Arabidopsis thaliana: one gene and its partners. The protein of the gene in region 3 binds, or shares a complex with, the protein of the main gene of each other region. Each region holds a gene or a part of one and is shown on either strand. Other genes may lie near its edges.

Evidence for each region. The genes of interacting proteins can lie anywhere in the genome.
Region 1: EMB3012 (region 3) and AT3G57350 share a complex: the UniProt entries of both Arabidopsis thaliana proteins name them as parts of the nuclear pore complex.
Region 2: EMB3012 (region 3) and AT1G75340 share a complex: the UniProt entries of both Arabidopsis thaliana proteins name them as parts of the nuclear pore complex.

The regions. Positions count from the first base shown.
Region 1 is NC_003074.8:21,219,844-21,227,193, forward strand, and holds AT3G57350 (Nucleoporin interacting component (Nup93/Nic96-like) family protein), read right to left. Parts: upstream 5,582-7,350; 5' UTR 5,463-5,581; coding exon 5,361-5,462; intron 5,255-5,360; coding exon 5,163-5,254; intron 4,962-5,162; coding exon 4,895-4,961; intron 4,766-4,894; coding exon 4,706-4,765; intron 4,620-4,705; coding exon 4,530-4,619; intron 4,154-4,529; coding exon 3,896-4,153; intron 3,639-3,895; coding exon 3,543-3,638; intron 3,450-3,542; coding exon 3,315-3,449; intron 3,118-3,314; coding exon 3,064-3,117; intron 2,944-3,063; coding exon 2,860-2,943; intron 2,723-2,859; coding exon 2,633-2,722; intron 2,560-2,632; coding exon 1,657-2,559; intron 1,497-1,656; coding exon 1,315-1,496; intron 1,212-1,314; coding exon 920-1,211; intron 841-919; coding exon 763-840; 3' UTR 544-762; downstream 1-543. Other genes in the region: AT3G57340 (DnaJ heat shock amino-terminal domain protein (DUF1977)), read left to right, coding at 1-435; AT3G57360 (tRNA-splicing endonuclease subunit), read left to right, coding at 5,728-5,840, 5,938-6,069, 6,172-6,555, 6,643-6,778; AT3G57370 (Cyclin family protein), read right to left, coding at 6,996-7,129, 7,225-7,310.
Region 2 is NC_003070.9:28,268,427-28,273,934, forward strand, and holds AT1G75340 (Zinc finger C-x8-C-x5-C-x3-H type family protein), read right to left. Parts: upstream 3,656-5,508; 5' UTR 3,448-3,655; coding exon 3,410-3,447; intron 3,300-3,409; coding exon of another isoform or gene 3,240-3,299; intron 3,049-3,239; coding exon 2,871-3,048; intron 2,711-2,870; coding exon 2,616-2,710; intron 2,512-2,615; coding exon 2,416-2,511; intron 2,326-2,415; coding exon 2,232-2,325; intron 2,121-2,231; coding exon 1,903-2,120; intron 1,808-1,902; coding exon 1,730-1,807; intron 1,630-1,729; coding exon 1,537-1,629; intron 1,431-1,536; coding exon 1,345-1,430; intron 1,265-1,344; coding exon 1,042-1,264; intron 918-1,041; coding exon 845-917; intron 763-844; coding exon 727-762; 3' UTR 544-726; downstream 1-543. Other genes in the region: AT1G75335 (nucleolar-like protein), read left to right, coding at 150-440; emb2184 (Ribosomal protein L31), read left to right, coding at 3,737-3,805, 3,896-4,261.
Region 3 is NC_003076.8:16,211,184-16,216,069, reverse strand, and holds the start of EMB3012 (embryo defective 3012), read right to left. Parts: upstream 3,035-4,886; 5' UTR 2,710-3,034; coding exon 2,537-2,709; intron 2,459-2,536; coding exon 2,193-2,458; intron 2,108-2,192; coding exon 1,941-2,107; intron 1,857-1,940; coding exon 1,640-1,856; intron 1,348-1,639; coding exon 1,001-1,347; intron 583-1,000; coding exon 403-582; intron 319-402; coding exon 183-318; intron 99-182; coding exon 1-98.

The sequences.
Region 1 (7,350 bases), on a different chromosome or scaffold from region 3:
ATGCCTCCTGCGACTGCTCAATTCCGATCATTTAATTTCGGAGCTACTCGTCAGAGAACAGCTAATAACAATCAAGCACCTGATGCAGGTTTCAATGCTCGTATACTTCTCCAGCTTCTTCCTGTTGTCTTCATACTTCTGCTCAACTTCATGCCTTCTTCTCAACCAGTTTACCAACTCTCTGCAACTTATCCTTACCAGTACAAGTTCACTACACAGAAAGGTGTCAATTACTTTGTGAAATCGTCTAAATTCGAGCAGGATTATCCACGAGATAGCAACGATCGACACACGCTGGAAGAACAAGTTGAGAGAGATTATGTGTCTATACTTAGTCAGAATTGTAGGTATGAGATGCAGAGGAAACAATGGGGATTTGTTCGTGAAACGCCTCATTGTGACATGATGAGGAGATTTGATACAGCTGCTGCTTGAAACAACTGAAGCTAGTACCAACAATGAGGCACACATTGGTAATGAATCATCAGCTTATAAAACTTTTATAATGTCAATGCCTTCACGAGTCAAACTGGTATATGTTTTTGTTTTCTTTTGTTTTGGATTATAATGCTTTAGAACCTAACATACGATCTTTGGATTTTGTGTGATTATCTCTATGTTAAGATTTTGCTTTTGCTAACCATGCCTGTTTGAGCCCAAAAGAAGAAAAAACAAAAAGTGATCCTCGAGGTTAAGTAACAAAAATGGGTTTAACAGCTTCTTACAAGATCTTTTTTAGACAAGTATTCGAATTTCTTAGATTCAAAAGCTTCGAGCTATCTTCTCGTACAAATCTCGAGGCCAGTTCCGCTGTGTGTTGCTTGCAAGAAACCCAGCAATCTGCAAAACAAATTCATGATTAATATCCATATCATGATCTCTACTGATCATATATATGGCGCAAATTGTTAAAGTATACCTTAGATCTCATGCCCCTGATTGATCCATCAGTGTCAGCTACGTTATCCAAACAGGTCAGAGCAACCTTAAGTAAATCAGGGACACAAGTCTGAAAGTAAGAAGATGCTTTCTGGAACTCATCCGAGGTGGTGTCTGGTTGTCTTGGATCGAGATGAAGGAATGGAAGTTTCGCGACTTCTCTTATGGCATCTAGATGTTTGTTTAGTCTGGCCAACTTGTGGATCGATAATATTGCCTCAAGCTCTCTTAGTATTGTTTCTTGTTCCATAACAAGATGTCTTTCCTGGGCACTGTAGTATAAAAGAATAACACTTCCAGTGAGAACCTCCCTATTCAACAACTACAAAACTTAAGACAAGTAAATGAGTTAGTCCATTGAAGTATGCAATTTACCTGACATCAGGGTGATATTTGTAAGAATTGAGAATGTCATTGCCCGAGAGAACAAGCCCCTCTGTTCGGCTTTCACCATCTGGCCTTCCACGGACAAGGGAGCAAATGGCTTCAGATAGACATTTGTTTATCGTTTCCAAGGCAGACGAAAACGCACCAACTCTCTTCTGTAGTTCTATTGACTGCATTAAATAACAAACCGTAAAAAAAACTGAAACATGGTAAAAGAAATAAATGATTGATATGTGAAAGCACTCCAATTGAACAAAGAACCAACGGACAGTTTACTAAAGCATGTTTAAAGTAGTTAGTATATGATCAAAAAGTACAAAAGATACTTACTTTGTCATATAATCCAGCTTCTTGAAATTGATGCGCAGCTTCGATCAAGAACTGCTGCCTCAATTTTATATCAGGCAGAAATCTTCCAAGCTCGCCTTCTTCACCGGAACCTCTAGCACCAAGCAGAAAGTGAATACCATCCTCTTGTGACAAAATCTCAGTCAGTAGTTGCTTCAGCATCAAGTTCCTTTGCCTTTGTTGATCAACATTACTTCTTCCAGACCAAGCCTGTTGACCCCCACCTACTGCAATAGCAGCTTGTGCATAGTATTCCAGCGTCATTTGCAGATCACCATGATGCAAATACATCGACCCATATTGCCTAATCATGCTAGATGCCTCGGCATTAGCATCCATCACACTTAGTTTGCGCCCAGTCCCAGATCCTTCAGAGAGAATGGAATGGTCCACTAGCGATATAGCTACATGGACAGCATCAATGTTATACCCTTCATCTCCAGCTTCGTTGGACATGTGCATGATCGCCGGTAGTAACTGAATGCTAAGAAGCAAAACATATGGGTATACCAGAGGGTCTTTCCCATTCTTAGTGTAGTAAGATGGCTCAAACTTATTAAGATAGGCCTGGAGATCATCCAAACTGTATGGCACTAGCCCATCATTCACGATCATAGATGAAGATCCACCAGCTACGTCACGTACACATGATAGTTTGAACCAGAGAAAATCTTCTATTGTGTTAAAGAGGGTCGAAAAATCTCTCATGATGCGATCAATTTGTCTTCGGGAACCAGATATGATAGTGTAGAGTAGAAGCTTCTTCTTGTCATATGTTGTTTGGCCAAACCGATCACCCATCCTTAACAATTTCTCACATTCCTCAGAAGCAGTAGCAGCGGTTTGTGCAGCCACAGTACCACCTGTTGTAATCCACTCTGTAAGCTGCCAAAAAAAGGGGACATCAAAAAGGCAACTCCAAAACATTAATGTGGGTTATTAAGACCAAACAATATACCAGAGGAGCAAACTGTTGTTGAGATGACCGAGATGACTGGGCAATTTCTCTAGCTTCCTCATAATAACCAGTTCTCAAGCAAAAATATATCTGTAATCAAAGAGGTATATTTAATCAATCTCTTACGTTAAGAAACTTGGGGGAACAGCAATAAGAAAATTCTACTGTTCAACTTGATTGTTGAGGACAAACTGAAAATTTAAAGCGTGAGTGAAAATATGTGAAACCTGCTGCCAAGTAGTATCAACTGGAGGCTGCCTACGAGCATCAACTGAATCAAAGTCCAAACTCCCATAATCTCTCAGACGAATCTGCGCAGTATTGAAAAAGAATCAAGAAATGCAAACAAACCAATGTATATGATTGCCACAAAATAATATTCCTGTGTATATATGCTTCGTGTTAAGCTTTATTAGATCTGTGGCACTCACCCGAAGAAAAGCACGAATTCTTTGCAAATTTCCAACTGATCCACCAAGAGCAGCCTAGACAAAGATTCAAAGGAGAGGATAGAAACATGTTGTGATTATTGACGCACTTGAACTCAGTGAAAGATCAAGGGCATATTTTCAAGAAAGCATCCTTGAAGTTAAGAAAGTAATTAAAAAGATGCATCAAGACACATGTAACATGCCTTAAATAGCAATTCCAAGCAAAACTAATACAAGGTAGAAACGAGTACTTGTGTAGGATGACTTTGAATTGTATCCATTATATGTTTCCCATGCCCACATTCCAAGTGGCGTCTTGCACCTATCACGAGGGCCATCCTCTTGGAAACACCATGTTGTACTGCTGACTCTTCACCCGTCATTCCCTGTTTTATAAATTGTTAAAAGCCTTGGAAATGTAAGAACAGACTTTTAAGGTGCCACTGGTAGGAAAAGGAATCTTCCAATCAAAAGATCACCTGAATAAGCTGCCATAATTTTTGCATGTTGACTGATTTTCCACGAGTCAAATCAATTTCTAGACTTTCATATGCACCGTTGAACAATGTTGCAAGCTATACAAACACACAAATAATAAATTAGTAGGAAGCAGAGTTAAACAAATGAGTACAAGGTCAACTAGTTAGATTAATGCTGAACAAAAGGCACTTATCATAAAAAGGTGAAGGGTTTACATATATATTATAGGTTTAGCTTCACTTCTAAGAGCAGTAACAAAAGATGCAGAATTTTTAGCTACAACTATCAAGCAGGACGACATTCAAATGCACCAATATTATAGAATTTACAAGGAGGTTTTCGAAGGTCATACTTTAAATGGCAAGCCTCGTTCTCTTGCAGAGTTTAGTTTTTTCACAACCTCGGCATAGACATATGCCTTTTTCTCATGAATGGGTTTGTTAGTCATAGACACGAGTTCCGTTCCAGGTTTTGAAGATACTTGGGGACTCAAAGGCACTAGTGAACCAGCATGAGAGCCTCTACTTGAATTGATCATCTTGGTCTTAGGTAACATTGAAGTTTTGCTAAGGCTGTGAAGAAAGTCACGTTTTTCTTTTATACAGTCCTCCTGCCATAAACAGATTTCACGTTGAAGTATATATGAGAAAGAACCTGAATAAATTCAAAAAACATATCCTTCTAATTAGCAATAAGCAACTCAACCAGCTTCTAACTTTCTACGCAAAGAATTTTCAAACTACAATGCCATAAATATCTAGGGATAAAGAACATGTTCCTCCAATTAACAATTACGGTCTCATGCTTATCATTTAGACATTTACGAGTCTTTGACTGTAATAGCATAATGAAAAGAAGCAAAAGACGAGAGGAAAAACTTTAAAACCATTACAAACAGGAGAACATTGTCTAAAGGCAAAAGATGTGACAGATGAAACTAACACGGAAATCAAGTCAAAACAATTTGTGATAGTCGCAATACTGACCTCCAACACTTTCAACATGTAGTTGTTAAAGCTTCGAACATTATCTTTCTGGGCCTCCTGTATAGCCGATACCATTGCCATTTCATGAACCTAAAGACAAAGAAGATGCATATAGAACAATCTGTAGTGTAATCAAAGAAAAGGGAATTCTCGAAGAGCATTTAGATATAGAAAACCTGTTGCAGGTATTCTTCAACACTTGTTGTCTCCGCAGGGAATACATCTTCAAAAGTCGTCTATTAACAATCCAAAAGAAAAACTTAGGCAAAGGTAATTCAGTACACAGATAAAATGTCAAATTATCCAAAGAACAGAAGAGCAACATAAGCTAGTAGATATAGATAGGAAATAGAGAAAATGCTCACCTTCAACTCAAATGACTTAAGATCACGAGATAATTGATCTGCATTGATTCCCTCCCGTGCAAGTAGTCTGCGTATCCAAGCAAAAATGAAGACACCAGAATCAAACTATCGACCAGAGGATTCTACGATGTTAAGCTCGTCGGACCTACCTTCAATCTCGCACTCCAATACTCTTTAATGGCTAAATTGAGTGACCAATATTGAATTCTCGGGGACTCACTAAAACGCAAGACCTAGGTAAAGAAAGAGAAAATCGAAGTTGTAGTACCTAGTGGCAGCAATAGACTGTGAAGGAGCTTCGTTTCTTAGGGTTTTAGCTTTGAGTTTCCTCGACAATGCTTCCAATTGATCCAAATTCCTCTATAAACCACGGATATATCATTACGAATCAAGCTCATCGTGATAATAGAAGCCAACAGACAAACGGAGGTTCGAAATCGAAAAGAGTGGTGGTTAGTAGAAGGACCTGAAGAGGAGGAAACTGAGAAGAAGGAGCCGCTTGCTCCAGAAGCTTAGTCGAAGAATGGAGAAGATCAGTCCATCCACTCATCTCCTGGTCGTTCGCCATACTTATTGAGAGTTTGAGCTTCAGGAGAACTCAGCAGAAGAATGTCAAGGGTTTAGGATTCGAACATTTTAAAATCAGTTTTTTTCTCCACTTACTCAAACCGGTTTAATTGGTTCGGGTCTTGATTCCTTATTTGTCGATTCGGTACAATAAAATTCAAAACCAAAGGAAAAGAGAAAGAAGACACACGACACGGCACGACCTATTTAGCTGTACACCAACTGTTCGACGAATTGCCTCCTTGAACATCTCATACTTTAAGCTTATGGAGGAAAAAGACTGGGAAGCTTCTTCTTCGAGCGAAAACGAAGGTGGTTTTCCAAACGATGATGACGAAGAGTTTCATTCTGGTGGTTCAGTGCCCAAGTTACAGTTCAGGTGAATTTAGATTTACTTTTGCCCAAATCATAAACTGCTAAGTCAACTAATCTTAGACTCAGTTTCTCTTTTTGTTTTTTGTGTTTGCAAAATGTAGAGTAGGATCTTCCAAGGCTCGTTGGATTACTGAACTAGGAATGGCGGAAGTTGAGGTTAAAAGGGGAAAACTTTGGACGACAACTGGAATCATTCGTAGTGGAAAGACATATTGCTTCATAGAAGAGGCTCTGTATGTGGCAAACTAAATATTTTACAAGTTTTTTAGATCAGTCTTTACCAAAGATCTGATGAAAGTCTCTTCCTTTTTCGTTTATTCTTCTTCCCTTTGCAGGTATTTGAGTGAAATTGGAGAGTTACAGATCTTAGGTAATGAGGATGACATAGTGATCCCATTGAAGGACTTGTATGAGAAAATTGCAGAGGAGAAAAGCGGTTGCTCTTGGGAAAACTACGAGGTTTATAGATACTTGAAGGGTCTAGGTTACATCCTAGGTAGGCATGGAGTTTCTTGGACGTTAAAGGATGCTGCAAGACCGAATGGTGAAGAAGAGTCAGCTTGTGCTGGTGAATGTCCTGCAGACAATGATACTGTAACTAAACTCTTGGGAGATATGCAGATTTGTGATGCAAAAGCGGTGTTTGACGTGTATCTACCAAACAGCCGGTTCAAGAAGTCTTCTCCTGGTGAACCAAGCTTTGTGGCTTGCTTCTCGGGGTAAGCGTTTTTGTTAGTTTGAAGTTCGACTATGAATGCAAGTTTTTCACTATGCGTCTTACTAAATATACTCATATTCTTTAACAGGGACTCTCCACCAAGCAAAGAAGATATTAAAGTCCTGCAAAAGCGCATAGCTGCACCATTAACATTCTGTCATATCGCTCAGGGCCGTGCCAGTTTCTTTTCCTTCAGTTCTATAGACCTCCCTGTCTTATCATAAAATGTAACAAAAAACCGGAATGATCTTGTATTCTTTTGAAAAAGTCGAATCAAACTGAGAGTTTACATACACTTGGAGTAACTTTGATGATGCGTATTCATGAGGTATTATGTGTAAAGGGTTCTAGGAAGAATCTTATAAGGGCTCAGGAAAAAAGAAAAAGGGAAAGACGAAAGCTTCTTTGAGTGAGATTGTTTGTATCCTCGCACATAAAGATCTAAGGAGCTCCAAGGTTTTTCAGGTCATTTGCATTGGCAAACCACGTGGGTACTATTGTTGGCAGATTTGGATACAAGTCCCCGTATGTTCCTTTTATCGTGTTTTCTGCAACTCCAGTGGCTTCTATTAGACCTGCAACTCATTATGTGTCAATATGTTAGAGAAAGAGAAGAGCTGATCAGACTTTGCTTTAAGGGCTGCTATATAGATTGAGATTTAAATGTGACCTTTGAGCAGATGCTTCTCATAAGAAAGTCGAGCAATGACATATACGATTCCTGCTGCAACTGATACAGGAGCCCTACGGCTGCAACTGCAATAAGTAGAAATATATGGGTTTTAAGTCTGCTGCA
Region 2 (5,508 bases), on a different chromosome or scaffold from region 3:
CGCTTTACCTTTATAAGAGAGACACCGATGACATTTTTTCTTATTGGGCTTTTTCCACTAGGCCCATTTTCAATTCTATGTATAAAAAGGTTTATTTATTTTTCAACTTGCCCTAATTTGTGACCATCTTCCTTGAGCTTGTTGTTCCGATGAAGACGGTCACCGGAAGAGTTAACAGTGCAAAGCCAATCTCTCTATCAAAGGCGGCTACTCTTCTCTCCGGATTCGTTTCTTCTGAGAATGGAGCCTCTCAAGATGTTAGCGCGTACCTTCGACGAGCTTCCGGTGCCTTTATTGAATTGAAGAGCATCCATAGGGAGATTAAATCAAAGGAGACGAAGCTAAGCTCTAAGAAGAAGAGGAAGAGTCATCGAGAGATGGGTTCGGAAGAGAGGAAGAAGAGTAAGAAAAAGAGAAAATCCAGCGAGATCGTTGTTTGAAGTTGATCAAAAAATTGTAGTGGAATTAAGAAAAGCTTTCAAATTTTGTGGGAATGTTGTTGTAGTTGAAAGATGTTCACTTGGTGAGAAAGATTTGATTTTTAGAATTCTCTTGTTTATAGTTTCTGTTATCTGCATTGAAATTATTGTTAAGGTTCAAAACTTTGGATTTTGTGGAGAAACTACATTGGTCACAAATCTGAGATGACCAAGAAAAAACAACTCTTCTGCGCCAATTTGCGACTCTGGCCTATACGTAATTGTTTCAATGACATTCTTCATATTGTTAAACAAAGGCATCAGGCGGCGCTTGTTCCGGAATCTGCACAACAAAAGCAACAAATTAATCTAAGAGCAATAAATTTTTTGGAAACAACTTAAATGATTAGTTTTGAGCAATTTACCTCCCCTGGATTCCATTTCTCCTTTAGCCAGATACTACTATCAACAGGATCACCACCTATTTGCAGCTCGGTTCTGCCGCAAATGATTCAAGTTAGAAACGTATGAAACATCATAGTATGTTTTGATTAACTCTGTCAACATGTTCAACAACGGTTTTTAACTATAGAAAAAACCTGGAAACAGATTGAGGACTTACCCGGAAGATGTATTTGTCGTGTTTATAGCAGGAGCAGTAAAAGATGCAACAGGGACATTGAAGTTGAATGCGGTCTGATTGTTCTGGGAAGTGTTTGTAGCCGGTGTTGGAGTTGATTGACCAAAGATGTTATTGTTTTGTGGAGTTGTGGCAAATCCGGGTCCAGGTCCAAATGATGCTGGTTTGAATGTTGTTGATGGATTGGTTTGGAAACCAGAGGGACCTGTGATCATTTGCAAAAGAGGTTTCAGATGATGGCGAGTCTCTTGGCCTTTAAGCAAAGTTTAACATTAGAAGTAGTACCTGAAGGAACAGGTTGAGGAGTGTTGACGCTGAAAGCATTTGGTTGTTTATTAAAGCTTGCAAAGGCATTCGGAGGTCCAGATGAACTATGTAGAGGAATCATTGGCCAGAGAGAAATATGGAAACAGAGTTTTCATGAAGGCACCCCTTTACGGAATTTGGAAAATGGAGAAAGCCCACAAAAGTTGATACCTGAGACCACCAGCGTTGGTATTGGAGAATGCAGTTTGTTGATTATTTGATTGTTGAGTAAAGCTTGCAAAGGGGTTCGGAGGTCCAGATGAACTATGCAGAGGAATAGTTGGCCAAAGAGAAATATGGGAACCAAGAGGTTATAAAGGTAACACAAACTTGTTTGAATATGGAATATGGAGAAAGTTAGTACCTGACTCCACCAGCATTGGTATTGGGGAATGTAGTTTGTTGATTGAAGCTTGCAAAGGCATTCGGAGGTCCAGATGAACTATGTCGAGGAAAAATGGAAACCGAGAGTTAGTTTGAAGGCAACACAAACTTTTTGGGATATGAAAATTGGAGAAATCCCACAAAAGTTGATACCTGAGTCCACCCGCATTGGTATTGGAGAATGCAGTTTGTTGATTAAAGCCAGAGAATGCTGGAGAAGGGGAATTGATCTGACTGGACTGAGGGAAGATACTAGGAGTGGTTGCAGCAAACGGGCTTTGATTGGCGGTAACAGAGCCTTTGTATGGATTCCGTAGAAAGTTTTCAAACTCGGCTATTTTGGAATTTTGCAGATTCCTCTCCCTTTCAACCTATATAATGCACCATAATAAGCCAGGAAAAGAGGAAATCAACTTATGTCTTATCAGTATGAAATGAAAACCAGTGTAAAGTATAACAAACACAAGAAAGGTTAATCTCACAATCGACTGTAGAGGTATTCCTCGTTTAGCTTCTTCATATGCCACTGCACGTAGTTCTTCATAGCTGATATCACCGGTAACATCACATGGAAAACTAGAAGAAAAAAAAGATAGAAAAAATCAGACACGTTTATAAAGAATGGATAAAGATCAAGGATGCTAAACCAAATGAAGTAATACATACTATTTCCAGTGGCCGTAGCATGTGAGCTTCCACATGGGTCTCTCATTCTTAAAATCGTCTTGCATTACCCGCTTACACGCAGCAGGATCTGTGCATCTTTGTATAGTAACCAAGAGAGAAACAGTAAATTTCCAAAGAAACAAACGGCTAAAAGGATGATAATTGATAGAACAAGCATATGTAAACATATATACACTCACTTATGATCTGCCGGCTGCGTCTGTTTACCAGTCTGCTGTGTAGAAGCAGCAGCACCACCACCAGTAGGTGTAGAAGCCGTTCGTGACCAAGTATTCTGATTTGCAAAAGCATCATCATGTCACCATTCATTCAACAGGCAAAATGCTTTCGTTTCTTAAAGAAGATGCACCATTTTTCTCATCCAAAGCCGAACGATAACTTGCATTCTATCAAAGCAATACTTGCATCTTAAAAGAGGAAAAAAACAAATTGACCTGGAACTGATTCGGTCTGCTGGAACCACCACTTTGTACACCAAATCCAAAAGGGTTCGAACTATTTTGTTGCTGCTGCTGCTGTTGTTGTTGTTGGTTTTGTGTACCAAAGCCAAAGGGATTATTTGGCTTAGCTTGTTGTGGATGAAGAAATCTACAGTTTTCCCCATACCTACAACTGCAAAAACAGCACAAAGGACGATGAGTCCAATAATTACGTCTCTAAGCTTCTACTATCACTAATCATAACTTCCGAAGCAAATCAACCCTCATTAATGGCGGAAACGAAGATTAGAATCTATCAAAGTCAATAAACTGTATGATTCATTTAGATTTCAGCTCAATAGACATCGTTTTCTAACACATTACCACCTTCGCACATCGATTGATTTCAAATTAAACCCCAGAATATAGAACACGAAACCTAAACTTCAGCAATCGAAACAAACTTCAAAAACTCTTATAAAACAACAAATTGAATCAAAACAAAAACTAGAACAGATGAAGAAGAAGATGATGATGATGAAAAGAGTATTTACCTGCCACGCTGAAAGTTTCTACACAGTTCCTTCCTCATACTCGCAGCTAAAACCTTCGAACTGTGTACGTATGTGCGTATATATATATGTAGTTTTGCTTCTCTCGAGAAAAATGAAGAAGCGTTAGATTGACGAAGAGTGTATCAACAGAACAAAAGGAAGTCTCTATGTAAATTACCATATTACCCTTACATATCTTCAAAGTATTTAGGGTTATAAACGTAACTCCAATACACTTCATCATCCTCATTCTCTTATCCATCAATCGTTACTTCGTTTCTTCTCTATCACCAGGAAAAAAGAAGAAGATAGCTCCTGAAGACAAAAATGGCGGTTTCTCTCCCGAACTCGTTTCTTCAGATTAGCCCATGTGTTCCTTCTCTGCAATTAAGAAAGGTAAGCTCGAAATCGATTTCTCATTCTTCGTCTATTTCTCCTCCTTCCCCAAAATCACTAAATTTGTTTGTGTTTTTTTTTCAAAATTAGCCGGTGATGGCGGCAGTGAAAGGAGGAAAACAATCGGTGAGAAGAAGCAGCAATACGGTGGTTCAGATAACGTGTCGTAAGAAGGAATTGCATCCTGAATTCCACGAAGACGCAAAGGTTTACTGCAATGGAGAGCTGGTGATGACTACAGGAGGAACAAAGAAAGAGTATGTGGTTGATGTATGGTCAGGTAACCATCCGTTTTACCTCGGGAATCGTTCGGCTTTGATGGTTGATGCTGATCAAGTTGAGAAGTTTCGTAAGAGGTTCGCTGGGCTTTCTGAGATTATGGAGATTCCTGTGCTTAAAGGAGAAATCATTATGCCTACTAAGAAAAGTAAAGGTCCCAAAGGGAAGAAGAAATGATGAGTCTTTTCTGGTAAAGCTTATGTCTTTGAATTTGTTGTCTTTTCAATTGAAGTCGAGATACTGCTTAGGCTGTTAAAAATTGTATGTGAATTTTCTTCTGAATGCTATTGGTTATGCTTTCTTTAAGATCTATTTGGTTTCATTGAGAGTGAGACTAGGATCTCAGAGCAATGATACAAGTAGTAGCGAATCTCAAGGACAAATCTTTAGCTTGTGAGTTTGGCATGAATTTGTGATGGATAATAGATAGATATACACTGGTGAGAGAAACATAGCAACAATGCCTATGAAATGGTAATTGCAAATGAAAGAAAGGTTGTGGCTTTTGCCACATTTTGTGATAATCTTGGAAAGTTATGGCATGAGATTAATGACTAGTGTAGGTAGTTGTTGTTGATGTGTAAGTGGTGTGTTGATTAGTTGATTGAGATCATTTTTACATAGATTTATAAGATGTTGAACATGATGATCATGGTCTATGTAAGTGTCTGCTGAAGTTATCAGGCAAAACATTTGTCTTCTGACGACGAAGTGGCGTACTAATAGTGAGCAGATTCTTGAACTGTGGCCATGGCGTAGGAGTATGTTTTGCTTGAGAACATAAAAGAAAATTTTTGGCACTTGAAGTTGAAGATTCTGTGATCATGCCCAATTGTATACTACTACTGAATTTGTGTGACCAATATTGAACAGAAACAGAATACTCCAGCTCAATCAGAGGTTTTACCAATATCAAGCCAAACCAATATCAGGCCGTCTCAAGCCCATTTGAAGACAGTCGAATGTGTGGGCTATTTTAGGCCCATTTCCTCTCAGCTGGAGTCTTCTGCTTCTTAACTAAGCTACCAAAGTTTTCACTGAAGTTCAAAAGGAAAACCTGTGGGCTTTTTAATCCGTTAGTAAATTGGGTTTTGACATCTCTACATACTTCATATGCTGATCGATGCAGTTGAATCTGAATAATTGAGTTAAACTAAATTCATTCGTTGGTTGAAGTCTTAGATCCTTTCTTATCAATGATTTGCGATCTTGACTAAAATTGAGTCTTAAAATATTATCTTAAAGACTTTAGACACACAAAAAGAAGGTGTTTTAAGATAAACTAATGGTCTCCTGTTTCCTAGCATAAGATTGATGAAAGACGCTGTGTTGGGTTAGTTAAACTATATGTCTAACCATATCTAATTAGTTTGTTAATTATGTTGGAATAAATACAATGTGTTGGATTAAATAAATTTTAATTT
Region 3 (4,886 bases):
ACCGGGCCTCTTTGCCTGGATAATTCCATAAGCTGACACCGACAAAATGCTTATATCTGAAGTAAACCACTTGTAGTCACTCGATGCTTTTGCACAACCTACAGTGAGGAACAATCATCAAGTCACCATGGTTTTCAAACTAAAAAAGAATAGGTCACGAGAACCATAGATTGGGAACTAACCTCCTGTCACAATTAGCTCCATCTCCTGATAAACAGCAGGGGTCCATGGGAGTAGAACCTTAGGTGTGTCATCTTCACTGTTCAATGTGAACTGCACTTTTTCACAAACCCTAATTTCTTGGACAACCTTGAGAACCTGCTAGAGACAAAGTTGTTACTCTTGCAGTACCAACAAATGGAAAGAGACAAAAGGTTTTCCAAAGATATATAATTTTCTCACCTCTTTTGACTCTTGATGCCCACTGAAGTAAGTCAATGTAGATGTCAGCTCTCCTAATCCTGGTGAGATTGCGTTCAAAATTCTAGAATTTCGCTGACCATATTCAGAGGAAAGTTCATCTGGCAGTGAGACGATTTTCCAATAATCTGAATCTTTTCCATACAGTTTTATGTCATCCGTCTGCAATCAACACAAAGGAAATTATTATGTTGAACATACATGCAATATCATCTACAATAAATCCTCTGGACATAACTCGGTAAAGGAAGAAACTTAAATGCAAACAAATGAACAGCAGTGAGAAAGAAAGAAAAACAGCCACAAAAGACACATCATCAGGCTTTTCTTCAGTTTTAAAGATTTGAATACTGTGTAGCCACCAGCAGTTTCCTCCCCAAAATAGAACACATACTCAGTATAAAGAGACTCATGACCAAAGACAAGCTTATGGACGATTGATTGGCAGCCTAAAGATAAATAAACTATGCACCACGTCCTATAGTTAGAAAATACAGAGGCAAGGTAATATTGTCACACAAAGAAACTGATGCAAACTACATGTGGGCATGCAAAACAGGTAAAAGAAAAAGAAAAGTACCTCAGTTATATAGATTTCATGTGCATCAGGTCTTCCAGAGAAAATCTTCATTTGAATTAGATATTGACGACCAGACACCACATACCAATGCATAGATGATGGAAAAGGTTTGGATTCTGTAATAAGATCCCCTGACATTGACCAAGGTGATATGTACAAGATAAGAGTATCTGGAGTGACAACATTAATAGATGATCCTTGAATGTGGCCAGCGACCCGGGTATCCTCAACAACAACTGTTGTTACCCCCAAGCTTAACGCTTTAGTCAGACCTATCAAAGAATCCACTTGAGCAACAGAAGAGTTTAACACAGACCATCTATGATGTGGTGATGGTAGATCCACGGCTGCAAATAAAATAAACAATAGACCAATCAAGAACGAGAATGAAAAGCAACATAACATAGCATGTCACACTCGAGCTACAGTTACAAGTATTTTCAAATTATGAATCAACACCACTGAAATATCATAAAGCGTATAAGCCTGCCAGTTTAATATGATAAATGTACCAAGGTAGCTCTATACATTGTTTTCATTTAATATATGTGTCAAAAATCATCAGCTTTAAACACACATGAAAATCGAATAACTCAAACATTGCTAAATAACAAGTTAATCTCGAAGATGCAGACAAACCTTGAGGAACATTTCCACGCATGACCTTTAACGTGTAACCAAAAGAAGCTCCCATCAGGACATAGACAGGTGAGCGAGGTTCAAGAGACATGGCTTCTGCAACCGTTAATACAATTTCATCAGCTATATGGGTCAGAGGAGCCTCAAGCAGATGAACTGAAACCTTCTCATGTCCAATTTTAGTTCCCTTCACAACAAACAAATCTGCAAATACACCCTGCATTTACCATGTCAACATTAGATCTCTCATCCATCAATTTTTTAGATTCAGTAATTCACACTCAACAATAGATATACATACACTATCTTCAAGCTTTTTCTGGATATCTAAGTAGCCACACAGTCCTCCACAGTCAGTCAACGGAGATTCCTTCAAAGGCACATGAGCAAGATGATGTGTTGATCCACCACTCTCAGGCATTAGCTTCCAAATGAATTGTAGACCCACCAGTGAGGAGAACTCGTTATCTGCAAATAGATTTCAGCACATTTCTAAAATCACAGCACAAACTGAAGCAAAAACATTACTTTATTGACTTGTGACGACACTAACCTTCATTATCAAAAGCGCGGACTCTAAGCATGGAAAGACCATCAAGATCAAGCTTGATAGAATTATGAAAAATCTGAATCCGTGAGAAGTTGTCAATAAAGACCTTGCAGCGAATCACCATCCCAGTCTGTATATCAGTGGCATAAACTGCAGTCTCCTTTCTACCACTATACGGAGAAATCGATCTGAGACGCGCGCTGGTCGAACAATGACTGCTCGAATTAAACTCAGGTGTGACTGATAGAATATCATGATGATCCCATGACCTACAAATTACAACAACAAAACTCAGATTTGGGTAATACAGCTACTTATAAGAGAGATGAGTTTGGGTAAATGTGTACCATTTGAAGCAGCCATCACTTCCTTGAAGGCGATACTCAACCGGATTCTTCATCTTGGGAGGTAAGAGTATGTTAACATCGGTGATGTGTGGACCAGAAACTAATTGCGATGAACTCTCTCCAGCAGAGAGCAAGAGAAGGAGAAAGAAGAAGCAGAACGAGACGGGAACCATTTTGGTTTTTGTTTTGCTACATCAACGCAAACGAATGAGAGTAAATTGAAGAAGTAGCCAGCTTTGAAGCAGTAGCTTTTTTATTGAGTGAAGAGTGACGTGAAATCGAAGAGCTAGAGGTTGTAGATGGATGAGATTGAAACCCTAAAAGAAGGGTTTTTAGAGGGGTTTATGGAAAGGGGAAGAAAATCGAGGGAAACGACGGTTACGTGGCAGAAATTTATTGGTGGCGAGGGAAGATTCGCTGTCGTTTTAGCATTTCCTGAGGAGAGTGTTGTTCACGCGCCGATGCGGTTTTGATTTTTCAGGTGCTCGGGAGAGAAAGAAAGCTTTTGGGATTTTTTCGAGTCTTTAAAAGCTTGGTCCCTAGAGTTTTAAATTTTTTAAAATCCAGCATAAGACTTTACCTATGTGCAATTAGAAACTGCGATTGGTGACAAAAGTATTACAAAAAAGTTGATGGTACAAGATAACTAAGTACAATTAGAAGTCACACATCAACGGTTTTTATGGTTTTTATGTTGTTTAAGCAGCAAGAATTTGCTCTTTAGGGATATTTACTTGATCATATATCGTGAACAAAAAATTATAGGTAATTGAGAGGTCATAGACTTTTGTAATACACAAGACATTTGTAAATTGTTATCACATACTCAACACCATATATATTTTCAATACCTCTCGAGCATCTTCTGTTATGATTTTTCTTATTTTCTCTAATTTTATTACAAACCTTATGGTTACTAAATACTATGCAGAACCGTGCCTACTTGAAAGAAAATGAAACATTCGCCTACGATATTCAAATTTCCAAATTTTTACATAACTCATATCAAAATCAAGTTAATTTCTTCATAAATTTTGTGCATTTTGTGTTTGTATTTATACTGTACGGATTTTCTCTTACATACGCAAAAATAAAAAGCTTTTTAATATTGAAAAAGAGAAAAAAGAAAATAACCAATTATGTAATAATTCTTACAAAGAGTATAAATATATAAATACAGACAAATCTTCTTCTTTTTGCACACCCGAAAAGCCTTGTCTTCCTATCTCTCTACCAAAATTTCTCTCTTTCTCTTTCTCTCTCTCTATAGCTCTAGAGTGCGTCGTGAGTATGTTTTTATTGACGCCATTGAAATTGGGTTAAATCGGTTTGAATCGGATTGAACAAAAACTGTATTAATAATAACTAGATGAGTACCCGCACTACGTGCGGGTTTACGTATTACTATTTATAAATTGTTTTATATAATGCATGTTCATATAAAGTAAAGTTAAATGCATAGGTTTTGAAACATAAATATGATTTGTAATTGTTTTTGAAAAGCCCAACTATATTAGTTCATCTGAAAAAAGAATGTGCTTGAGTTGTTTTTTATTGTTGTTTTAGATTTTTAGTTTTTTTTTTGAATTTATATATCCTTGCTTTTTTAATTATATGTATAGATTGTGAGACGGTGAAATTTTAGAAAATTTATTTCTTACACTAAAAATATAACATGTCTTTATTAATCATGTCTCTGCATATTTAATCTAAGCATATTCAACTTGATGTTCTTGGAAAGTTTAGTTAAATTCTTGTCATAATCTTATATCTTACGTATTAGTTATAAAGATAGCTCCTCAAATATCTTTCAAATTACTTGTTTTCTTAGCATAAATCTTGAAAAGCTTAGATATATTTAATCTGCATATTCATTTAGTTTCTTTCATAATAATCGTCTAATTTTTAGGCCAGGAATATGTGTAAATCTTTGGATTTTATCATCACTTTAGCCACTTAAGTGGATCTCAAAATTAAAGAGGATATATTGAATTAAAAAATGTAGAAAGAGTGATGGTTCAAGTTCTCATTAATTATATTTTTCTATTTTAATTGTTATGTTGAATTAATTACTAATTATGTATTACTTATTTTATGAAGTCTAGGTGGCAAACTCTCATGTGCTAATGTGTCAAGTTGTGGAAGAGAGTTAGTCTTCTTTCATATATATAATTCTTCCTCTACTTTTCTCTCTTCTGATTGATTCCAATCTTCTTTCATTTCTTCTTCTTTTTCTTATGGAGAGGGGGCATGTTAAATAATATCAAATTTATTTTTATTTATACTTTATAGTATATGTTTAAAATTTGAAAAATACATTTTTTATTGAATATCCCATTTATATACCAAG